2 linked regions of the Drosophila melanogaster genome follow. The protein of the gene in region 1 purifies or fractionates together with the protein of each later gene. This does not show direct contact. Each region holds a gene or a part of one and is shown on either strand. Other genes may lie near its edges.

The links.
Region 2: the proteins of Teh1 (region 1) and CG30344 purify together in Drosophila melanogaster (affinity purification with mass spectrometry, with the first as the bait; one large-scale study listed by BioGRID). This does not show direct contact.

Annotation. Positions count from the first base shown.
Region 1 is NT_033777.3:9,864,398-9,870,972, reverse strand, and holds the start of Teh1 (tipE homolog 1), read left to right. Parts: upstream 1-2,852; 5' UTR 2,853-3,305; intron 3,306-4,633; 5' UTR 4,634-5,234; coding exon 5,235-6,004; intron 6,005-6,575.
Region 2 is NT_033778.4:9,143,260-9,149,834, forward strand, and holds CG30344 (uncharacterized protein), read left to right. Parts: upstream 1-2,000; 5' UTR 2,001-2,327; coding exon 2,328-2,532; intron 2,533-2,600; coding exon 2,601-2,713; intron 2,714-3,386; coding exon 3,387-3,537; intron 3,538-3,603; coding exon 3,604-3,787; intron 3,788-3,855; coding exon 3,856-4,042; intron 4,043-4,103; coding exon 4,104-4,239; intron 4,240-4,290; coding exon 4,291-4,617; intron 4,618-4,679; coding exon 4,680-4,836; intron 4,837-4,893; coding exon 4,894-4,957; 3' UTR 4,958-5,253; downstream 5,254-6,575. Other genes in the region: shrb (shrub), read right to left, coding at 361-538; Prp38 (pre-mRNA processing factor 38), read left to right, coding at 869-1,861; CG30345 (uncharacterized protein), read left to right, coding at 5,568-5,739, 5,807-5,919, 6,428-6,575.

The sequences.
Region 1 (6,575 bases):
ACCAACGGGCAACAGGGTCGTGTGATTGATGTGAACATGTCAGCACGGACATGAAAGTGGACGGCGATGGGGTTTTTGGATTGGGATGCGGATTGGTATTGGGCTGGCAGGAAGCATAAATTGTAGACAAGATGAGCGCAGATACAAGATACATGCTGCTATTACACGACTCACAATCAGCTGCAGATACAAATTTATGTCATGTGCAGCAGTCTGGACATGTGAATGACAAAAAAGCATCGCCACGGACTGATAGACTTTTGACAACCGGTTCCACACGGCGAGAAAAAATCACTCAATTCTGTATTACTTCTTATAATATCTTTAATGACACTGCAATGAATTTGTAAACATTTCGCAGAGGCACCAAAGTTTTTAAAACTTATCACAGAATGCAATGCAAAACATTCTTCAAGATCAAGCTTCTTTCCAATTTGTTTGATTCGATAAATAATTAAATAATTATCGTAACATAAAAATGAAGCTATTAGCTGAAATTTGTCCGCGTGCATTTGGGGTTTTGGAGCTGGGAGCCTCGTCTGGAGTTGGCGGCCAACCCAACTCGATGGCTGGGGTCAAGCGGCCACCTGACAGCAACTTTCCTTGGTCGTTCCGATTTCACCGATGAACGATTCAATCGAAAAGCCTGAAATGGAGAATCCGAGATCGCAGATCGCAGTAGCGAAGGAATGGTGGAAAGGAGGAGCTGCGCCTCCAACATGAAAACTGTGCGTGCTGTTGACATTGGGTCATAAATTCTGGTGAAAAACAGACAACAGTTTTCATTGTTTGGCTGCTCGGAGATGCAAGACTTTTGTTTGGACAATACACAAATATGGGCACTAGACAAACACCGATACGCAGCAATAGACAAATAAATGCCTCGCATGAAATTGGATTTGACTTGGTGGTTGCGGGCCACACGGCGAATACTTCGATTGGGTTTAGTTTGATTTTTGGGCGTGATGGGGGAAGGGGAAAAGGAGAAGGGGGGAGGCTGCAACCAGCTGTCAGTGCCAAAGTGTTGATTTTGCCGTTTGCAGGCAGAGTTCCATCGAGTTCCATAAACAAGAGGCAATCAAAGGGAACTACCCCCCGGCTGCAAAATCCCAGACCCAATATTCAGGCCAAAGACGCCACCAACCAACCTTGGCAACTTTGCAACTAGGCAAACTTCAGGTCGCAAATGGGTCAACCAGCCACGTCACTTACTGACCTACTTTCGAGTTTTTTTTTTTTTTTTGCTGGCGGAATCTGTGTCAGGGATATGAACAGCTGTGAATTTAGCTTTTGCAACATATAGAATTCGTTGGCAAATTCATATATTAAGAAAACCTTCCAAAAATAAGTAATAATAATAATTATAATATAATATAATAATGATATAATAGTTTACATTTGCAGACGATAGGTCGAAACGGGCCGGCTTGAAACTCTATATCATAATGCATATCATATAGCATTAGTTCAAAAATAAAATTTTATTATTTTTCTGGCACATCGATTCGGTATTGCAAATTTCCAAAACAAGCAAAAAAAAACGAAGAAATTCTAAATATTTTCCAAAAGTGTTAACGTGACAGTATTGAGCGGATGGACTGGTGGCCGGAGAGGACGTGGCCAGATCGGCTTGTGATCCTGATCATGAATACACTAATCGTTATTATGAAAAAATAAACGCAGCAAAAAGACAACGAGTATTCTTCAATTATTGTGTGTACATTTATTACATTGGTTTGTGTCTTTGCTTATCGCAACTACTTTGTCTTCTACATAATGTTTTTACACATGTAAAATTCGTATTGTTTGGAAATACATTAATTTGTAACAATTAGAGTATTGAAGAAACATTGTAAGCGAGTACTTTTGTTGAATAATACAAATAAAATGAAGTGAATCGCAATAAAAGAAAAAAAATTAACACAGCTTTTTTTTTATTTGTGACAGTCGTAACTATTATTTATTACTATTGAACAAAATGATGCCAACAACGAATGCTAAAGCAGAACGTATAGAAAAAGCGATCAAGAGATTGGATGATCCGTGATTTTGGTATATTTTCTTTTGGCCCTTCGTCGAAACTGGTTTCGGTAGATCGGATTCATTAGAAATGCAATCAATGGACTTTGGTTCGCGCATATTCGTCTGGAATCTTATCAAATTTCCTTGGGAATTTCTCGGGAATTCTTTGGGATCTCCTTGGGAATTACTCTGGAATTCCTCGGGATCCTAGGGAATTATTCGGGATTTCCTTGGGAATTCCTTGGGATTTTTTTATGGAACTCGACTAAAACATTCTCTGTGGTTCATAGTCGAGGCACACCGGCTATATCGTTTTTTCCTGAGAAGCTTGCTAAAATTCTATCGTTTGGTTCTTGTACAAGCTTAAAGCTTTTTATTCCACTTGAAGTAACGATTTACTTTATTATTCTTAAAAATGTTGTAGCAGGACTGATAGCTTATATAAATAAAATGTAACAATTTATTTATTTTAAATAATTTAAAGGAGCTCGTGCATTTTTGTGCCGGCGGACAGTGAGAATACTTGATGGGAGCGGCTCTGTGTTTGCAAGCAGTGCAAACTTAAATTTGTTGTCCTGTTTTTCTCCCACTCACTCTCTTTCTCTCTCTCATTTGACTCTCTCTCTCTGGAGCGCGCACACGCGAATCCTTGTATGGTTACTTTAGCGAAGTTGCGTCCCCGTTGGCAGCGCTGCCGACGTCGACGCACCGTCGCGGCGCCGCCCCCGAAATGCGAATAGGAGGGGCGGGCTTGGGGCAGCATGTCCTGCCATCGGAGTCCTTACTCGAGTCCTGAGGCTCCCGAGTCCGCAGTTTTGGACAAACACTCCGAGAGGCACGTCAGGGCCAAGCGCGCGCGCTTCTCGTGTCGAGAATTCTGTCTGTCTGTCCTGTCTGTCCGCCAGCGTGTGCGTGAGCGTGTGGGTGCATGTGTGTGCGTGAGCCAATGGCAGCGTCGGTGTTAGCCAATTCCAGTGCTGTGGCAAAAAATACCGTTCCGTAATCGTGCAAAAAAACGTGCAAAAGTTTGGCCCCCAAAATCAAATTCAAGAGCAAACGCAAACGAAATCAAGTGAAAGTGCGAATAACAAAGAAATATTCAAAATAAAGAAGAAAGCGTCCTGTAAATAAACACGAGCAGCGAAAAGTCCGAAGAAAAAACCCATAAGCAACGTTGTGCTAGCAACAAAATCAACAAAGTGCGCCAGCGGATCGGGAAATCGCGACCGGGTTGTGCGGGTTGTGGGCTGCAGGCTCTTCAGCTGCCAGTTCAGCTGTCAAAAGTTAGTTCGACTCGAAAGCTTAATGTTTTATTTCCATTTCGATTTTTATTTCTATTTTAGTTTTTAGCCATCATACTCATTCCAAACCTCACCTTCCTTTCCACACAAGCAAAGGCGTGGGCGTTGCACTGCCCAAAATTGTGGGTCCTCACATTGCCCATCTTACCCATATTGCACAAAGAATTTTAATGTTGACCTGCTGCACTCTTAGATAATTTAGTAAGTTTCTCATTGAAGTAACTGAAAGATTTTTTCGGTGTACTTGAGACTTAATTCTTATGGCAATGACAGGAGCTCAAGGAGCTTTTCTGCTGCTCTTGTTCTGGTTCTTGTTCTTGTCGCTTCTCCTACAGCCTTGCTGGAAAAAGTTCGCGTTTCCAGAATTTCCGTGCTAAATGCATTGCTAGCCCCAAGCAAACAAATCTCAACATATTCCATGCCATCTAGGATAATTTAGAAAGAAGCCCATGTGCCTGCCAAGTGCATTACTCATACGCCGCGTTGACCGCTGAACAAAGCATGGAAATGAAATCATACCAACCACACACAAACTGTGGCAATAACAGTTAAGCTCACCTGTGTGTGTGTGTGTGTGATGAAAATTGTGAAATGCGTGCCGTGGCAAAAACAAAAGACAGCTAAATAAATGAAATGAAATGAAACAGAGCAGCAATAAAACGGGGCAAGAACAAAGGACGAGCCTGCTGACCAAAGTCCAGAGTCACGCGAAGTTGCAACAACAACAGTAGCGATATATATATATATATTTTTTTTTTTAAAGACCGCCAAGGTGAAGCAAGGATGTTTAGGCTTGGATAGCGAGGGGTTGGGTGCAGAAACTAGTTAGATCAGACTTCTTCCCACAGATCCCAAATAAATCAAGAATACTTTGTGCCCTGGCCGGGCAGACAAATGCAAATAAATTGAAGAATAATAAGCAAAATGCCAAGGCACTGGCAACTGGCAACTGGCAACCAGAAAGCGAAAAGCGAAAAGCCGCCGCACAAAAATGTGTAGCATAAATAATTCCACCCACAACACACAGAGGCAAAAAAGGTTACACAGTCACTAGGGCGAAACCAGTAGACTTTCGAACGCCGACGATGGCGTCGCAGCTGGCGCCGACGTCGACTTCGGTACACACTCTCCCATTCATTCTCTCATTTGCAATCGCTCTGCAAGATGTACCTCTCTAACTAACCTACATCAACAGCTGTGAGTTGTGAAAAAAGTGCCACCCACGCAAACCGCAAAATGTGTAAAGAAATGCCATAAAAGCCGCATATCGTTTTGTAGTTAAAAGCCAACTAAGTAATATTATTTTTCAGTGTTTTAGCTGCGATTGAAAAGTGCATAAACCAGCGAAAAGGAGTAAACAATAAGCCAGGATAAATGAAAACGCCAAAGCGCGCTTTTCTCTGACTGTCACTCGCTGTCTCTTCCCTTCTCTGTCTCCCTCTCTCTCTCTCTCTCCCTGTCGCTGTCTCTGTCGCTCCCCTTCGCGGACTTTCGCCGGAACAGCTGTTCTCCATCTCTATCTCTATTCACTCGCTCTCGCACTCTCGCGCTCTCCCTCTCTCGCTGTGGTGTAAGCTTCTCTAGCTTTTCTCCTGCGCCGAAGCGTGTGTACATAACCTAAAAACAAAACCGCGCTCTGCATGTTGCGGTAGGCGGACGGAGGCGTCGCAGTTGCACACACAAGTGCAACAACGGCAACAGAGCGGGGCGCAGCAGAGCGACGGAGCGGCGACGGAGCAGGAGCAGCGTTGATGCCGTTGCAGCTGCTGCTGCGCAGCCAGCGACGACAGCAGCAACATCAGTGATACAAGGAGCAGCGGCAGCAGCAGCAGCAGCAGCCGCAGCAACGCCAGCAGCAGCAGCAGCAGCAACAATCAGCAACATCAGCGCCCTGTGTGCACCGACAATAATATGAGGAGTGGCAGTTCGGAATTACTACTCGAGCAGCAACAACAAGAGCTACGGTTACGTAAAATCCGAGAACTGGCTCCGAAAAAGAAAAATGGCAATCGGCGCTTTCGTTCGTGGCGGGAACGTGCGCGTTTCTATGGAACCTCGACACTGGCCTTCTTCTCGGTGACCGCCGGGGCATCGCTGCTCTTCCTCGTACCGCTCTATGTGGATCCGGCGATATCGACGCTTAGCCACGATTTTATCGAGAAGCCAACGCTGTGCACGACGACGCGTCGCGAGGATCTAGTGGGTATATTCAACTGTTCGTGGAGTTCGTGTCGCGAGGGCTGCACCTCCGATTTGTACCGCTGCGTGCATATCTATGTGACGTTCATTGAGCAGAACATTACGATACCGGAGAATATGACCGATTATAGCAACTTTACGTCCGATATGGAGCAGTCCGGCGAGGCGACACTGCTTGTCAATATCAAGGGATGCGGCTATCCGCCATCGGTGACGTGTAAGAACTTTAACGGTTACTACGGCATCGAGGGTGCCATCTTTCCGTGCTTCTATTCGCGAAAGAACAAGACGGTGGTGCTGACATCGTACAACCACGACGACCAGGTGGCCATGATCATTCACTTCTTCGCGGTGCCCTTTGTGATAACGGTCATCTCGTCCATTGCCCTGTGCATCATGCACTGCGACTGCCGCTGCAAGAAGGATCGCAGCCACCGACGCAATCGGCCGCAGTGCCGAAGGCCGCGCATCGAGAATCTCAGGTGAGTGGTGACGAATTCTCCTCGCTATATCTAACAATCCCAAGGAGTTCTTTCAATAAGATATAAGGATATCAATATGAAGGAATGAATTACTCGCCTTGTCTATCAGTTTCTTGCATTTTCATGAATGTATATTTTCGTATTTTTAAATTTTTAATAAAACTAAACTTGCCACCCATTCTCCCAATTGTATTATTCAAATACACATGAATTTAAAACGCTTTTTATCGCATGTACGTTGTCTTCTTTGGCCAGTAAGTTAATTTAACAAAACTCTCTCAGCGGGAAATTCCTTCCTGTCTGCAATATTTGCTTTCCTGGCGTCGGCGTAATTTAAATAATTCACTAATGACAGTTCTTCCGTTTGTGTGTGTGTGTGTGTGTGTGCGAGTGGTGGGGTTTTTTGGAGGCAAAGTGAACGTGTCAACGGAGGGGGGGTGTTGTTATTTTGGAGTAATATGCGGTCTAAATTATTTATAAGACCAGGCGTCGCATGTATTTGCCACCCAGCACAGCGCAGTCAAAGCATTAGAGCACGCAACAAACACGCACCACACTGCGTATGATTGAT
Region 2 (6,575 bases), on another chromosome or scaffold:
ATTAGAAGGTTTCGAGGACTGGCTTATGTATATATCCGAAATATGATTTGGCCAATTCGCAATGCGTGCTTTGAAATTACTCTACTGCATGGCTTGAGTTTGTTTTGGGTATTAAAAGTAATGTTTATATTACGTTCTGAGCGATTTGCGGACACGTCCAGGCATCGAATGGTATGCGGGTGAAAAGGCAAAGAGATACATATTGTTTATTGAGTTTTCTATTTGCTGGCAGTATGGGATACTGATTAACTGGGAGCAGGCCTCGCGGCCGCAACAAAAACAAAGCAATGAGTCATTTCCCCTTGGCCCATTTGAGTGACCAACTAGGAAGCCAAGGACCTCGGCGCACTCCTCTCATACCTCTTTTGTTTTTAGACGCATTCTTGCGGGCTATATTCAGTTCGTCCTCGATCTTGGCCTCCAGGAACTCCTGCTTTTTGATAAGCATGTTCTCCGTCTCGCGCAGCTTCTGTATCGCCTCGCCGGTGGTGGGGGCCACTTCCTTCTTGCCGCCGAACATCTTCCCGAAGAAACTCATCCTGGCTGATCTGTTTTTTCACCCGAATTTAGCGAACAAGTGAGTTTTTTTCTGCTATTGCGTTTCTTGGTTGTCTGGGAGCTGTTGTTCGTATGCGTCACCCGATACCGATTGCCGTCCCCTATCGTTATCGCCTTTGTGTATGCGCTTGGCGGAGTGGCATATTTCTCCCTTACGCAGCTGGCCACTCTGGTTAGCAAACGCCGAAAAATAAATAAATATATTCGGTGCATTTTCACATTTTGCACTGCTGCCAATAGATACCCGAATTTCTGGATTGAAAAGTCCTATTTGAGTTACGATTGACAAGGAACAAGGGTTCAACTGAAAATGGCCAACCGCACGGTGAAGGAGGCCAAAAACGTGCACGGCACCAATCCGCAGTACCTCATCGAGAAGATCATCCGTTCGAGGATATACGACTCTAAGTACTGGAAGGAGCAATGCTTTGCTCTCACTGCGGAGCTTCTGGTGGACAAGGCAATGGAGCTGCGATTCGTCGGAGGCGTCTACGGCGGCAACATCAAGCCCACCCAGTTCCTCTGCCTCACACTCAAGATGCTGCAGATTCAGCCGGAAAAGGACATCGTAGTGGAGTTTATCAAGAACGAGGAGTTCAAGTACGTTCGAGCATTGGGAGCCTTCTATCTACGGCTCACAGGAGCTGCCCTGGACTGCTACAAGTACCTGGAGCCGTTGTACATAGACAATCGAAAGCTGCGCCGCCAGAATCGCGCCGGCCAGTTCGAGATTGTCTACATGGATGAGTACATTGACGAACTGCTGCGCAACGACCGTGTCTGCGACATTATACTGCCCCGCATCCAGAAGCGCTCCATTCTCGAGGAAAACAACGAAATCGAGCCCAAGGTGTCAGTGCTGGATGAGGACTTGGACGACGAACTGCCCAGCGACGAGGAGAAGGCAGACGAGACCAACCGGCCTAAGGAGAATTCGACAGCAGTGAGACGACCACGGAGAGTTCGCTCCAAGTCAAGGTCCCGCAGTCGGGAGCGCGAGCGAAGATCTGGGCAGGGCAACAGCGCCCGTTCCCGGGATTACTACGACGAACTGGAAGACTACGACCGCCAGCGAAATAGGGTGCGCAATCGGGACACCCACAACGAGGACTATGACCGTCGGCAAAACAATGGACGCCACGATCGCGAACGAGAGCGCCAAGATCGCGACAGTATCAGGGAGCGCGAGAGGGACGGCGACAGAGATCGCCGGGATAGGGAACGAGAGCGAGAACGTGACCGTGGCCGTCACGACCAGCGGGAACGGGACTCGCGAGGAGAGCGTGACCGACGACGCTACTAAAATTATAAATAAATTGAATTAATTAACCAGTAAAAAGTGTCAGAAAATTTAAACCACAAACTCTCAATTCGCCGCAAGTTGGCATCCCTAGCACTAAGAATCGAAAATCGAAATCAAAACAATAACACAGAAGAAGAAGAAGTCAATCAGCTGTTGCTGCTTGCATTTAGAAAGTTTCGAATAGAGTAACGTTAACTGCGGGAGAATCCAGCCAGCTGTACTTGTGAAAATAATACACGTACCAGGGATTTAAGCAACAATAAATCCACGTTAATCAGCAGTAAAGCAGCTGAAGCTTTAGTATCTGAAAACTCTCCGTCGCGTTTGGAAGACTTTCAGGGAACTGCGCAGCGTTCTGGTGAATGAATTGTAAATTCCATTATCTCCGGTAGACTGGTGTAAGCCAGACGCATCCACGAGTTCCGTTCTCGATAGCGAGCAAGTAGGAACGGAACGGAACGGCAGTATGCCTCGCTCTGATACGGAGGCTTTGGTGGCCGATGTGGAGACTGGCGAAGATTCGGCACCACGCATACTGGACGCATCATCTGCGGCCAGCAGTGAGCAGGTGGACCCGCCTCCGGTACCGCCGCCTCATGACTACAGCAGCTATCGCTGGTTCATCCTGGAGCCCGCAGTTTTTTTAATCTTCTTCGCCAGAAATTTAATTGGTATAATGGCTATAGGGCAGTAAAACCGATTGGATTGCATCATTGAATTAACTTTGTGTGCGTTTTAGGGGCGGTTTATCAGAACCAAATTCTCTACCAAACCTGCATCACCATCGAGAAATTCAATGCCACGCAATGTGAACCGCTGCTGGGCATTGATCGCGGATCGGACGCGGATAAAGTAAGTATTTAATTTGACCCTTATAGTATACACATCATGTACAATTTGATATCTGTACTTTGTGTAGTTTCTGTTCTCGTTGCCTGGTTTTTATCTCTGTGCAAATTATTTTTGCTGCTTTGCTGGGCGTTTCGTGTTGTGATTTTATGGCGATGAGGAAAATGGCAATTTTAAACAAATTTATCCAGTAACTGTAAACAAAAACTGAAGTTTAAGTTACAAAAACTGCTGAACAATTTTAAAACCACAATTAATGTATCACAATATTAACTTGTTTTACGAGTAATTGCTACTATTATGACCTTTGCTGTATAGAACAATGTATTTCGCATTTGGCTCGCCGATATTCTTCCAAGACGTGACCTACTTAGTATATCTTACTATATCAGCATCCGACGTGACAAAGTAAAATCAAATTAGCAAATCGTCTCAACCTAATGCAAAACTGCCATTGTTTGGAGGCTAGAGATAAGGTAATTAGAACGCCAGTCGAGGCTTATCAACGGCCGGAATAGAAGTAAGCAAAATCCTTTGTTACTGCATTTCGAAGCAGTATCGAAGTATTTACTAGGAAAGCGTTAAAATTATAATTATACGTACGAGATATGGCACATTGACTCATCCACAGTTGTACAGTTGTGCAGTTTACTAAAGTGAACTTCTGTTTTTTCAGGAAGTCGAGGTGATAGTACAGACGTATTCTGCAAATATTATGATGACAACCTCTCTGCTAGAGAGCATTATTCCTGCCTTCGCGAGTCTGTTCCTGGGTCCCTGGTCCGACAAGTTCGGAAGGCGGCCAATCCTGCTGACAACTTTTACGGGTATATAATCATCAGTCAGGACATCTTAATTGCATCTTGTACAAATGACTCTTATTGTATTTAAAGGCTACCTCACTGGCGCACTCATACTGATAGTAATCACTTACATAACGAGGTCCACGAATATAAGTCCATGGTGGTTCCTCCTTTCCTCGGTTCCTTCCGTCGTAAGCGGCGGAACTTGCGCCTTGATTACTGGAATCTATTGCTACATATCCGATGTGGCCAAGGAGCGAAAGAAGGCTCTGAGGTGAGTATGGGTAGTCTTGATTTATTAATCCAAAGAATGCCATTTCATTTTGATATATTATTTGAAAGAATGGTCCTCAATGAAGCCTCCCTCTGTGCTGGCATAATGGTGGGCAATGTGGCCAGCGGTTATATCTATGCTGCCACAAATGCTCTGGTGTTGTTTTCCATTGCTGGTAGCCTGATGATGTTTGCCTTGATGTACGTGCTTCTGTTTGTACCTGAAAGCCTAAATCCAGGTGACATTCACACCGGAGTAAGTAATTTCTATAGCTAAGAAGAAACGAATATCTCAACACTCCTTCCCTCATTTTTAGTCGCGAGTCCGTGAGTTCTTCCGTTTCGATTTGGTCACGGACCTGATTCGCACCTGCTTTAAGAGGCGCCCCAACTTTGATCGCACAATCATCTGGCTTACAATGATTGCCCTTACGATAGCCATTTTCGACATGGGTAACATAATTCAAACTTAAGATTATATGAGTTAATTTATAATGATTTCAGAGGGAGAGAGCACTGTAAATTACATGTTCGTGCAGGATAAATTCAACTGGACCATTAAGGACTTCAGTCTATTCAACGCATCCCGCATCGTGATCCAGATTGTGGGCAGCATCGTTGGCATGTTGGTATTGCGCCGCGTTCTAAAGATGTCTATCGTAACCATGGCAATGCTCTCCCTGGCTTGCTGTGTTCTGGAGAGCACGGTTCGAGCCACAGCAGTCTACTGGCAAGAGCTGTATCTGGGCATGACGCTGGGTATGATGCGTGGCGTCATGGGACCTATGTGCCGCGCGATTCTCTCGCACGTTGCACCCGCGACTGAAGTTGGTACGTACCCAAAGTGTTTAGCCTGCAAATACCATTAACTAAAACCATATGAAATAATTTAGGCAAGATCTTTGCTCTGACCACCTCCATGGAATCGGTTTCGCCACTGGGCGCTGCACCTCTGTACACAACCGTCTACAAGGCAACTTTGGAAAATTATCCCGGAGCTTTCAACTTTATTAGCGCCGCTCTCTACTTTGTGTGTTACATTCTGATAGCGTAAGTCCTACCAAGCACAGTTCAAGTCCAGTTTAAAGCGAATACTTTTCAATACAGCGTGATCTTCGGCATCCAGAAGTCGATGGGTAGTAGCAGTGTCTACCAGGCCATTGGCAGCTAACAAACTCTCCAGAGCACCGATTTAGCTGAATGTATCTCATAAGTTAAATTCCTTCTGCAGGCGCTGCGAAGAGCTCTCGTTTTAAAAGATTAGAAACTATTTGTGTAAATTAATCTAGTGTTTGTACTCCTTGTATATTTTTGCAAGTATTATTATGATTTTGATCAGTGTATATGTATATATATACTATATCTGCTATTTGGACTGTGTTTTGCATGTGCAAGCATTGTAAAGTTAAGAACAAAAGATTTAACTGTTTGCAGTGTGACAATAAAGTGTGAATACATCGAGCATTCAATATCTTTGAGCATAAATCGAATGGGAATTGTGTGTCGCGATGTGAGGTTTCTCGAGAGGGAGCCGCTCGAGCGTTCGTGCGCAGATAGGGCGCAGCAAACGCTTTGGTTTGCTCAAATTGGCAATCGCTTGCTTTGTTTGTTTACGTCGTCTATTTCAGCTGCTCCCTCCAGTTAGTCTATCACTCGAGTTCGGCGCGCACAGATGTTTAACTCAGTTCCCGCTACGATATATTGCTTGGCTGAATGAATCGTTAATTCCTTTGTCTACACGATAATTGCTGCGATCACCGCGACCTTTACTGAACCACAAAATGCCGAGAGATGATGAGGAGCCAATTATTGGCGCTGATGATGAACCGCTGGACATCGAAGTGCGGTCGCCGCCACCCAGCAATAGGACATTCTCTAGCTGGCTAAAACGACCCCGCTCGCTTATTTTAGAGCCCGCCGTGTTTCTGGTTTTCTTTGGCAGATTCCTAACAGGTGTGTACATACATGTATGTGTTTACTGTGTTGTGGGGGCGTTTATAAATCAGATTGTTTACATCAGATGCCGTTTACCAGAACCAGATACTCTACCAGACCTGTGTCACGGTCATGAAATACAATGCTACCGAATGCGAGCCATTTCTCGGTACGGATCGTGCCTCCGATGAGGTTAAGGCAAGTTGAAAAGCAATAGGCGTATATGTATTTTTATGCATAAACTTTAATGAATGCGATTTCAGTGATTCTATAATTGCATTTCAATTAGAAGTCATTGTTGTGGGAAAAAACCATTCTCGGTTTATATACATTCTTATTGTTTTTCCTTTGTGGGTTCAAGTGTGATTCGTTCCATATGCTTGTTAACATTAGATGCGGATTGAAAGCTATGTATTGCTGGTATCTTAAGTTAACTTATACTGAAGAACCTTTGTCGCACCTGTTTTTGCTTATCAGTTGACCGCAACAAAAGTAAACCCAAATTGTTTATGACTAATGACTCGTCTTATCACAAAAAGTTATCGACCACAGTACACAAATCGGGAATAATATTTCGACATGCATGTGTGCAGATATTTAAGCCCGGCCAAAACACCTAGTGAGTCATGGAAACGTGACGACCGCTTGACGGGCTTATCAGCCGGCCTTTAGAGAATCCCCTATCAACAGAGTTCCCATTTTGCAGAAGATTGAGGGGCAAGTTCAGGAGTATGCCTCGACCATCACAATGATAAGCTCGATGCTCGAGAGCACCGTTCCCGCCATAGTAAGCCTCTTCCTGGGACCCTGGTCAGATAAGTTCGGCAGAAGGCCCATCCTGCTATCCACGTTTA